Arabidopsis thaliana: one gene and its partners. The protein of the gene in region 1 interacts with the protein of each later gene in a biochemical or structural test. Each region holds a gene or a part of one and is shown on either strand. Other genes may lie near its edges. The genes, in order: OST1, ABI1 and ABI2.

Evidence for each region.
Region 2: the proteins of OST1 (region 1) and ABI1 form a complex in vitro, tested with the Arabidopsis thaliana proteins (5 studies listed by BioGRID, with this or other methods).
Region 3: of the proteins of OST1 (region 1) and ABI2, one has a biochemical effect on the other in vitro, tested with the Arabidopsis thaliana proteins (4 studies listed by BioGRID, with this or other methods).

Annotation. Positions count from the first base shown.
Region 1 is NC_003075.7:16,270,172-16,274,004, reverse strand, and holds the start of OST1 (Protein kinase superfamily protein), read right to left. Parts: upstream 2,261-3,833; 5' UTR 1,642-2,260; coding exon 1,471-1,641; intron 1,160-1,470; coding exon 1,085-1,159; intron 990-1,084; coding exon 888-989; intron 804-887; coding exon 750-803; intron 666-749; coding exon 573-665; intron 504-572; coding exon 411-503; intron 156-410; coding exon 51-155; intron 1-50. Other genes in the region: AT4G33945 (ARM repeat superfamily protein), read right to left, coding at 3,491-3,614, 3,709-3,833.
Region 2 is NC_003075.7:13,220,221-13,224,053, forward strand, and holds the start of ABI1 (Protein phosphatase 2C family protein), read right to left. Parts: upstream 2,157-3,833; 5' UTR 1,609-2,156; coding exon 1,060-1,608; intron 990-1,059; coding exon 699-989; intron 568-698; coding exon 462-567; intron 370-461; coding exon 11-369; 3' UTR 1-10. UniProt on the Arabidopsis thaliana protein: Key component and repressor of the abscisic acid (ABA) signaling pathway that regulates numerous ABA responses, such as stomatal closure, osmotic water permeability of the plasma membrane (Pos), drought-induced resistance and rhizogenesis, response to glucose, high light stress, seed germination and inhibition of vegetative growth.
Region 3 is NC_003076.8:23,085,384-23,088,983, forward strand, and holds the start of ABI2 (Protein phosphatase 2C family protein), read left to right. Parts: upstream 1-1,738; 5' UTR 1,739-2,336; coding exon 2,337-2,849; intron 2,850-2,931; coding exon 2,932-3,228; intron 3,229-3,374; coding exon 3,375-3,480; coding exon of another isoform or gene 3,481-3,503; exon of another isoform or gene 3,504-3,564; coding exon 3,565-3,600. UniProt on the Arabidopsis thaliana protein: Repressor of the abscisic acid (ABA) signaling pathway that regulates numerous ABA responses, such as stomatal closure, osmotic water permeability of the plasma membrane (Pos), high light stress, response to glucose, seed germination and inhibition of vegetative growth.

The DNA of each region.
Region 1 (3,833 bases):
CATAATTACATTTTTCAACTATTGAAGCATGAAGAAAGTGAAAGGCTCACATGTATAGTTTTCCTGAAATTCTTTGGTTCCTCGGGATCTTCGAAAGGATATGCTCCAACCAGCATGACATACAGAGTAACCCCACAAGACCAAACATCTGCAACCTGAAAAAAAAGAAGAACATTAGGATGCATTTGACTAATTCAACCAAAACTCAAGAATTATCAGTTTACAAATCAGACTCTTAATAGCTTTCTTCACCAAAATTCTTGAAGAGCCAAGATTGTTTTATTTGTGTGAGCTTTCATCAAGAGAAAGCATGTTTCCCCTATCTATAATCAGAGGATAAAAATACAAAGATTGTTCTTTCTATAAGATATGGTTATCATACTAGTTTGGGAACTATGAAAATGGAGTACCTTTCCATCATATTCTTTCTTTAGTAAAACCTCAGGAGCGATGTAAGCAGGAGTTCCAACAGTTGATTTTGGTTGCGAATGTAACACTGATGACTGAAAAAGAAAACACAAAGCTTAGAGATACTAACTAACTCAGAGTTTCTGAAATGTTTTCAAAGATACCTTAGAATATCCGAAATCACATATCTTTAGACGAGGGGCCGGGCTACCATCTAATAACGTATTCTCGAGCTTTAAGTCTCGGTGACATACTTGCTACAACATAAAATTTAACTTCTTAAGTCAGCTGAATTTCACAGAGGATGAAGCATTGATTTGATAGAGAGCATTTTTCATTACCATAGCATGACAGTAACTAACTCCTGAAATGAGTTGCTGGAAGAAAAACCTCGCCTACATGATAGTAAACGATATATTAGCCTCAGCATTTTGAATCTTCGATTAATCATCAAAGCAAGAAAAAAAAGAGAGAACAACCTCGTCTTCGCTGAAGCGGCCTGCATTGCAGATTCGCTCGAAAAGTTCTCCTCCAGATGCATATTCCATAACAATGGCTAAATGGGTTGGTGTTAATATAACCTGAAGCAATCCTAAGGATTAAATTATAGAATTCCTTTTTTTTCCTGAAAATGTTAATAATAAGAAAACAGCTTAAAAGAGAGTTGAAAACAAACCTCTTTGAATCTAACGATATTGGGATGTCTTAAGGACCTGTGGTTGATTATCTCCCTTTTTACATTTTCATCTATCTGTACAAATACAAAAAGTCCCACCATTAATACCACGTTCCATAACAAAAGAAACACCTAGAGCCTTTAAAACAACACTATACAACATAAGTCATAAAGCAAAGCAGAGCAAATTTGGTCTTCCATAAAAATCAATCAATTTTGTAAATCTATAGGGTTAAACCATTCATAACCATAAAGTAACCAAACACACATCTCTCATTGGATGATGAACACACAAAAATGATTTCTTTTGAATTCAAGAACCTAGTGAATTGAAACATAAAATAAAATTGGACTAAGGAGAAAAAACAAGAAGAAAATAAACTGACCTTCTCACCTCTCTCGATATATTTAACAGCAACAAGCTCATTACTTTGCTTGTCTCTCATCAATCTCGCAACTCCAAAATTACCGGAGCCAATATCCTTGACGAGTTCATACCTATCACTATCGTGCATAATCGGCAAATCCATTGGACCACTCACTGCTGGTCGATCCATTTTCTCCCCCTCTTTCCTCTGTCTCTTTGCGACTTCAATCTCTGTGTCAAGAAGATTTCTTTTTTGGGAGACAATATCTAACGACACCAAGACATCAGAGGAAATGAACAACGGTGTGACGTGGATGAATTTGAGCCTTTAAGATGAGAAAAGGAGTATTGGGTGATCAAGTTATGGTTGTGAGAAAGAGACGTTTTCAGAGACCCGTGAAGTATCTAACCAACAACACAAGTGGGTTTCTTGAGATCCTTTTTGTTCCTTTGATCGCTCTCGATGAAGAAGAAGAAGAAGAAGGAAGGCTCGTGATCTTGAACTCTGTTTCTCTCTCTCTGTCTCTCTCTCTATCAGCTTTCCTTTTCTCTGTCAATATAAAAAGGAAACAGCTTTCTCTGTTCTGTTTAAACCACAGCTTGAAGTAAGCTATACAAAACAGAAAGATGAGAGAGATAGAAGAAGTTTTCGCTTTTTCTGTGAACTGTTGAATTGTGATTTGTCAAAGCATGGGAGATAGTTTGAAATGACGGATTTACCCTTTCTACTTACAACGTTCTGACAAACAATGGGGCCTGTAGTTTTTAGAAATGTTTTTTTTTACCGTGACTAGTATAGAAAATAATATTTTAATTAGTATAAACTTTCTTTTTATTGGCAAAGTATTAGTATAAACTATGTGATTTGTTACTCTTTATTTTTCAGTAAGTTTTATCTCTCCATAATATTATGCATTAATTTTTTCCGATTTATTATATGTCTTATTGTAAATAGTATAGCAAAAAATATGAAAATATTAATTGATTAAATTTATGCCTAGAACAGTTACTAAAAATATCTAAGTTTTCAAAAATATAGCACTAGAATGGTATGAGATTTAAAATAACAGATTTTGAATTGATTTTATATCCCAATTTAATTTAATCAAACACAGTGAAAAATGAAATAGAAATAATTTAAATTAACAATTAGTTTTTCTGTTAGTGGATCTATATATTAATATCGTAATATGTCCCTTACATATGTACATTTTTGGCTACTGGATTAATTTTGCCCCTTAAATATGTCCTGAAACGGAGCTGATGAAACATATACTCGCATTAAACAAGCTTATGGCTAATCATGGGAACCTCCATGTATTAATGACCACTAAAAAGATTTACTTTCTATTTCGGTATATAAAAAGGGTTTCCGCATTTAAAAACGGAAAATAAAAGAAAAACAAGTTACCACAAATGTCGAGATATTGTTGGCTAGCTTGTCAGATCTTCACCTAAAAGCTGAAACCGATAGAGTTGCACTCATCATCACTATAGCCCATCATTTTTACTATCTAAAGTTTTTGTTTATGCGCATCCACATGACGATTTTGCTGCAAACTTTTTTTTTAATCATCTTTTAAAAACATATATCCGTACTTAATATTCCCAATACACTCTTCTAGAGCTCGATCATTCCATGGACGTGAACATTTTGTCTTTGTTTCTCTTCCCTTTAGTCAAACAAACATTTTGTCCTTGTTTCAAACTAAAATCGATTTCTTCTAAATAAAGGAAATTCATTGACTAAACGAATGATTTTAGTGAATGAATGAAAATTTCTCATTGTGAAGCCTCTGTTTCTCTATTTACTTTTTTACTATTTAGAGTACCTTTCACCGAAATTTTCAATCAATTCCTTTCAATTTTACTACATGTTCAAGCATTCGAACAAAAGCAATCGTTGCAAAAAAGACTAGATCGGAATGCCTTCTACCCAAAAGAGAGAACTCAATGCAAACTGTTTATGAAATTTTTGAAAAAAAAAACTGGATTCATTCCGGTTGTTGCGAGTACCAACCAATGGAGAAAGATTGACCTTAGTTATTGTAGTTATCAAGGCCAAGGTCTCTCAGTGCATCAGTTGCAGCGGCTCTGCATGTCTCATTGTTGGCTTTAGCAGTTCTTATCAGCTTCTCGATTCCATTAGCAAGCAGAATAGTTCTGTAGTGTGCATGCAGACAGAACTTGATATTATAAAAGAGTTTGCGATATGTGCATATTGTTGGATGACAAGAATTGGAAACAGAGCAAAAACCTGTTCTCTGCACTTCTGACAGCAATGTTCCGTATCATGTTGCAAGCGTTTCTCTGCATTTGAGCAGCTACTGGGAACCTCTTCATTGCTTGGACCGCTAGATCACCAGCTCCAGCTTCTATAGC
Region 2 (3,833 bases), 3.0 Mb from region 1:
CCTCTCTGCCTCAGTTCAAGGGTTTGCTCTTGAGTTTCCTCCGAGGCTTCAAATCAACCACCACCACACTTATGTTGTCTTTGCTTCCTCTCTGTATCGCCAGCTTTGACAAATACTCAGCCGCGGACATCGCCGCAGGATCTTTCCCTTCCTTTCTCCGCTCATCCGCGAGCAACGATGCATCCCCAGCCACCGCGTTTTTCTTGTGCCACAAGAGAATCCGCTTCCTTGCCATCTCACACGCTTCTTCATCCGTCATTACATCCCAAACCCCGTCACTCGCCAAAATCAGACAATCATCTTCTTTTACTCTCTTCACAGCCGTCACTTCCGGATCAGGAATGATGGATGGTTTCAAGTATCTATCGCCTGTCACAATGATAAATGTTTGTAAGAAGAAAGGTTTCTTCTATTTCAAGAACCATTGAGAAGCTTTATGGAGAAATATAATGAAAGCTTACCAATGGATCTCGACATGGCGAGAACACCGAAAACACGAGCTCCATTCCACTGAATCACTTTCCCTCCTGCGGCTTCAATCCTCGCAGCTTCATCTTCTCTATCCGGCTACACACATAACACAAGCACACATCAGAAATGGTTTCATAAACCTCTCTAACTCAACATCTTGAAAACTAAAAACCTATCACAAGTTCACAACCAATCCAACTATAGATCTTGAGTCTATATATGCTTACTTTATGGTCAACGGATAATGGAAGTGCAGTTTTGCCGCGGCAAAGAACGGCTCTAGAGTCACCGCAGTTAGCGACGAAGATGTGAGACGGGAAAACAACGGCAACCACCGACGTTGACCCAACCGTCTCCGGCGCAACTGACTCAATCTCCGAGTCAACTCTCAGGAACGAGTTGAAAAGAGCTTTCTTCCACTTCTCCAGCCACGTATCACCATCGCAGAGCATCGGTTTCTCCTTAGCTATCTCCTCCGCCAAAGCCAAATGCATCCTCTCTCTACAATAGTTCGCTACCTACACAACAACAACCAAATCAGATTCTGCAAACTGTAAACAACCCTAATCAAAAGATCCAATCTTTTACCTGAGAACCGCCATGGCCGTCGTAAACACCGAAGAAATGAGCGGCGGATTGAGGATCAAACCGACCATCTAACATCGAACCAGAGGAAGATTGAAGGAATCTTGGTATAGTCGAAACAGCATCTTCCATCTCAGGTCTTCTTCCACAAATCGAAGTAAAACCATACAAAGGCACACTCTTGAATTCAAACAAACTCCTACTCTCTGTTCTGCTGATCATCTTCTTCTCGCTAGTAATATCTGAGCCGTTGATCTCATCTCCGGCGGAGATATCAACGACGACTATATCAGCAGCTGCTGATTCCTTCATGTTTAAATTAGGAGAATTGATCCGAGAAATCAAAACTTTCCTAGATTCAGAACCATGTGACCCAGAAACAGAGCATGATGAAGTCTCCGGTAACGAAACCATTAGATCTCCGTTCTCGGAATCTTGATTTGAGTATTGGTTATTGCAGTAACCTTTACCCAATCTGATCCCGGTGAAATCCATCTGGGTTTCGGAGAATGGCCTGAAAGGACCTGCGATCGCCGGAGATACTTCCTCCATTAACGGTAAAGATTTGATCTTTTTCTCTGGTTGTGATCTATAAGATAGCTCCAATGGAACAAAAATGAAAATTCGAGAGATTTTCACAAGAGAAGGACTTTATTAGAAGAAGCTAGGAAGACAAGAAGAAACACATGACTCCTATGAAAAAGGAAAGCAAAAACAGAGAGACATATACCCAAAAATATTTCCCGGGAAAATCACAAACACAGAAAGAAAGAAATGAATTGAATTTCAATAAGGGTTTCCTGGATTGTGGGTAATTCGTTAGGACCTCTTGAAAAGATTGGTGTAGTAATATCTCTCTCTCTTCAATTAATTTCCAACTATAAAACTATTTCTAGATTCATCTATATACACCTAAAAAAGTTGAAAAGAAGAGTTCTAATGTGCCTTGTTCACAGATAGAAGAGAGAAAGAAGGAGGAAATGGGTAGGCTAATGCAACAATTGCTTCGAATCTACTATTTATGTATGTATACTTATATACATATCACTTTATTTTATTACATTATTAAAGTGATACTTTTTTTGGCTTATTTATTTTTTGTAATAAGGGGAGATGTTTCGTTCTTGAAATTTTAAACTATTTAATTCATAAAAAGACACTTGCTTCAGACTTCCTATATTCAACATTTTTTTTAAAAAAAATGCTTTTATCATTTCTTATTTTTTTAACAAACATAAAGTTTTTTGGTTTTTTTTTTCTTTGGGAGAAATATATTTCTTTTTTGTTTGTCAAACAAAATAAAATATGTTTGCTTTTAACTTTAGTTAGGTCATCAGTTTAATGGATTTTATATTTTCATAAAGATGACTTTCATTAAATGACGTGTCGTAGTCCGAGTTAAATCTTGTATTGTTTTGCAATTATTTTATTTGTCATATAGTTTTCAATCTAAATAAATAGAGTTTGAATTACGAAAACATTATTCGTAATTCCTAATCATTGGACTAAAAAACACCAAACATAATATACCATTTAGATATTCATAGATTTAAATAAAAATTTTAAATTTGTGTCATTTTCAGAATAAGAACAATACTTTGTCCTTTAGATAAGAATTCAATGTTTTATATTCGGGAAAAATGAAAGACCACCGGTAAAATATCTAAATAATTGTTATTTAAGGGGTACGTTTCATTATTCATCTAATTATTTATCTTGAAAACCATTTTTGGTCAAACTCAAAACCAAAACCATTATGAAGTTATCGTCTCATTTATTTATGTGACCAAAAATAATAACTGAATCTTAGTTGTTAGAAAAATTGGTCTTTGTAGTTTCATACAAAAAATCAAGAAAAGAGATTTGTCGTGCAATTATAAAAATACGTTACAATTATATAAAGCTTTTTCAAATTCCAGTATATAATTTTCTTCTCAATTTATCCTTAAGGGAAATGAAGAGTTGGTCATGGAAGTCCATTAAATTCGACCAAATTTTTAGTTTTTTTTATTGACCAGAAAAGACAGTACAAAACATAAAATTATTGTTGTCGCAGTATATATATAAAATAAAAAGATGATTCCGAAGGTATTTTGATGGATAGACTCATGGACATAATTATGCAACGACCCAAAGAACATGAAAGAATCCGTCCAATTTTTTAAAATAAAATAAAAATGTGAATAGGTCCCACGTTTAGCAGAAAACAAAAACCGGTGGATGGTCGACACGTAGACGAAGAAAATGGGAAGGAGAGAGGGTGACGTGTACGGTTTAAGATGTGTTAGTTGGGTGGCGGGAGAGATTTGATCGAAAGAAAAAAAGGTTCATTGCACTGACAAAGACAGGTCCCCCTTTTATATTATTTTTCTTTCGTCCCATTAAATTCCGTAAATATCTTGTCTTTAAACTCTCTTTTTTCCTCTCCTCATTATTATTCTATTTTCTCTAATATCTCAATAAATATTTATTCGTCAACAGATAGATAAAAAAGAAGTATTTATTCATGTTCCATATGTTTGATGCCACTTGTGCGGTTTTCTTTGGACAATGTGTAATGATATGTTATTCATATGGGAGATGTGTGAAAGTGGGCTTTGGATGATGGGCAAGAGACAAAATACCCAAGACACCTCAAATACAATGTACCAATCATCTACCGTTTTTTTTTTACAAATTATTACAAAAGTAGAAAAAACATTGATTTTTTATTGAAAGCTATTTCTTTTAGATAAACTGAGAAGAAAGCCGAGACAAATATGAACACTAGTAATTTA
Region 3 (3,600 bases), on another chromosome or scaffold:
CGATGGGCCTAGCCCAGTCCAATAGGTGATTCACGTCTCACTATTTTTGCAGCTTCACAAAAATGGTAAGTTGGTAACTTACTATTTCGAGCGAAAATAACTCAGTAATAACTTCCAGATTCGTCAAATTTCTCTTACCTTGTAATGAAGTTTAGATGTTTTAGCTTTATGTATAAAAATTTAAGAATATGGTCTAATTTTATATAATTTTCTTATTATCATTTTGTATTTGATATCATATTGACAAAATTTAACAAATAGATATTAGTTGTACTTCTATGTGACCGCCACTTTATTCAATACTACCTTTTAAGTTTTAACAGATCCGTGTAGCAACTGATCATCTCAAAATATGTGACACATAGTATACTATACAATATGAGCTGGTTTTGTTTTTTATTTTATATCGAAAGATATTTTACTTTATCTGACAGCTGCGAGAGATCCTAAAAAAAATGAATTAACTTTAAAGAAATTGCATGCGTCTATCTATCTACGTATATCTCAAAAATAAAAATAAAATCAAGGTCACATGACTCATATCCAGTGAATAAAAAATATTCATGAAATCGTAAATAAATAAATAAAAACAGAAATTCATATATACGTTTTTAGTTATATAACTATACGATTGGTTCAGTGTATTTGTTGCCCAACCAAAGCTACTTTCACTTCACATATCATTACATGGTCCAATGATTATGGAACACGTATTATTATTTTTGTTTAAAAACAAGTAAATAAATAAAACAGACACCAAATAAAAAAGGAAACACAAAGATATTTACGGAAGTTAAAAGAGAGGTGTTGTCTATGTCAGTGCAATGAACCTCTTCGGCTCATCTTTTCCCGCCATCCCAACTAACAGATCTCTCACCGTACACGCCATCCTCTTCACCAAATCTAATGACTTTCTCTCTGTCTACGTGGCGATCATCCGGTCTGTTTTCCGACAATAATGGGACCCATTTGATTGTTATTTCGAAAATGATTTTATTTTTCTTCAATATTGTTTTTTTCTTCAATATTGTTTTGGAAGTAAAAAGAATCATCTGTTGACAACACAACACTTCTTGCCTTCTCGAGTTTGATTCTCCTCCTTTCTGTTTTTGGTATCCACCCGATTGTCATTATTTTATTTTGAACTCTAGAACCAAAAATATCAGAGCAAGCTCTCTAGTCAGTAAATTTTGTAATTATTATAGTACCTCATTTTTATTAGTAGCATTAATGTACTAGTGTGGTCAGTGTAGATGAATATATTTTCTACTAAACTAATAAAAATTGTATCATAATTTGTATATTTTTTGGTGTTTTCATCTTTTACTATAAAATATATTTTTGTGACATATGGCATGTTACACTAAACAAAAAATAAAATAAAAGAAATTTGTTTTTGTATAAAATAAGTAAATTACGTTTTTTGTCGACCAATTTTGATTAAAGCTCAAAAGAAAAGAGCAATTCCTAAGAGATATTATTTTTATGTGAAATAAGTAAATTACTCATTATGTAAAAAGTTTGGATTTATCTTAAATCTAATTTCATAACGTTTAATGCAAGATATTTTGGTAAAATAGGAAACGTATAAAACATCTGTATTCAAAACTTCTATAAAGATACCCAATAATAATGGAGGGGTGACACGATAGTAAATAGAATAAGAAATAAAATTTAATCAAGTCAAAATAAAATAAATACCCTTTGTTTTTGTTTCCACAATTCCTTAAGTCTTTCTAATTACTTTGTTGTTCACTAAAACATCTCACATTGTGCTATTTTTTTTAATAAATAAAGACCTCTCTCTTTAAAACTGATTATCCCCTAAACTATTTGTTTGTGAGAAAGAAAGAGAAAAAAAAGTTTTTTTGGTTGGAAATTAATTGAGGGAGAGAGAGAGTTCAGAATCTCTAAATGGCTGAAACGAATTGCCCAGAATCCAGGAAACTCTGATTTTAGTCCTTTTTTCCTCGGGAAAACGTTTGCTTTTTCTTTTTTGTGTGTGTTTGGTTCTTTAATTGACAAATCTCTCTCTATCTGTTTCATGTGCTAGCTAAGGTTGTCTTCACTTTCCTCTAATGAGTCATGAGTTTCTTGTCTTCATCTTCATCTAATAAAGTTAACAACACTCTCATCAATTTTTATTATGTTCAAATCTGTCTGACTTTTCGTTCTTTTCTCTTACACCCAAGCGTTTTAACAATCTAACATCTGTCTCTTTGAATACTTAGATATCCAACTTCAATTTCTCTCCTTTCTCTTCCCAACTTTGATTCCTGATTTGGGTTTTTGTTAAAGTTCAAGAAAGTTCTTTTTTCTTTTTTTTTCCTCCTTTAATGGACGAAGTTTCTCCTGCAGTCGCTGTTCCATTCAGACCATTCACTGACCCTCACGCCGGACTTAGAGGCTATTGCAACGGTGAATCTAGGGTTACTTTACCGGAAAGTTCTTGTTCTGGCGACGGAGCTATGAAAGATTCTTCCTTTGAGATCAATACAAGACAAGATTCATTGACATCATCATCATCTGCTATGGCAGGTGTGGATATCTCCGCCGGAGATGAAATCAACGGTTCAGATGAGTTTGATCCGAGATCGATGAATCAGAGTGAGAAGAAAGTACTTAGTAGAACAGAGAGTAGAAGTCTGTTTGAGTTCAAGTGTGTTCCTTTATATGGAGTGACTTCGATTTGTGGTAGACGACCAGAGATGGAAGATTCTGTCTCAACGATTCCTAGATTCCTTCAAGTTTCTTCTAGTTCGTTGCTTGATGGTCGAGTCACTAATGGATTTAATCCTCACTTGAGTGCTCATTTCTTTGGTGTTTACGATGGCCATGGCGGTTCTCAGGTAATGAATCGATTTGGTTTCGATATGATATGATCGGAAACTGCAAAAACTTGGTTTTTGACATTTGTTTTTGTGTGTTTAGGTAGCGAATTATTGTCGTGAGAGGATGCATCTGGCTTTGACGGAGGAGATAGTGAAGGAGAAACCGGAGTTTTGTGACGGTGACACGTGGCAAGAGAAGTGGAAGAAGGCTTTGTTCAACTCTTTTATGAGAGTTGACTCGGAGATTGAAACTGTGGCTCATGCTCCGGAAACTGTTGGGTCTACCTCGGTGGTTGCGGTTGTCTTTCCGACTCACATCTTTGTCGCGAATTGCGGCGACTCTAGGGCGGTTTTGTGTCGCGGCAAAACGCCACTCGCGTTGTCGGTTGATCACAAAGTAAGTATAGATGTTTCTATGAATGAATTAGTACAATCATATATTCATTAGGACTTGCGGTTTTTTGTTATGGTGTTACCAATCATAGCATGTTTCTATAGATTAGTTAATGTACTTATAGCGTTTGGGTCTACATTTATGTGTAGCCGGATAGGGATGATGAAGCGGCGAGGATAGAAGCTGCCGGTGGGAAAGTAATCCGGTGGAACGGGGCTCGTGTATTTGGTGTTCTCGCAATGTCAAGATCCATTGGTAATTATTTAACTTTCTCTTGATAATGATCCATGAATTTGGTTCTTTTAGTTGTTTCCTTACATTACAACCCGTCGCGAACAGGCGATAGATACCTTAAACCGTCAGTAATTCCGGATC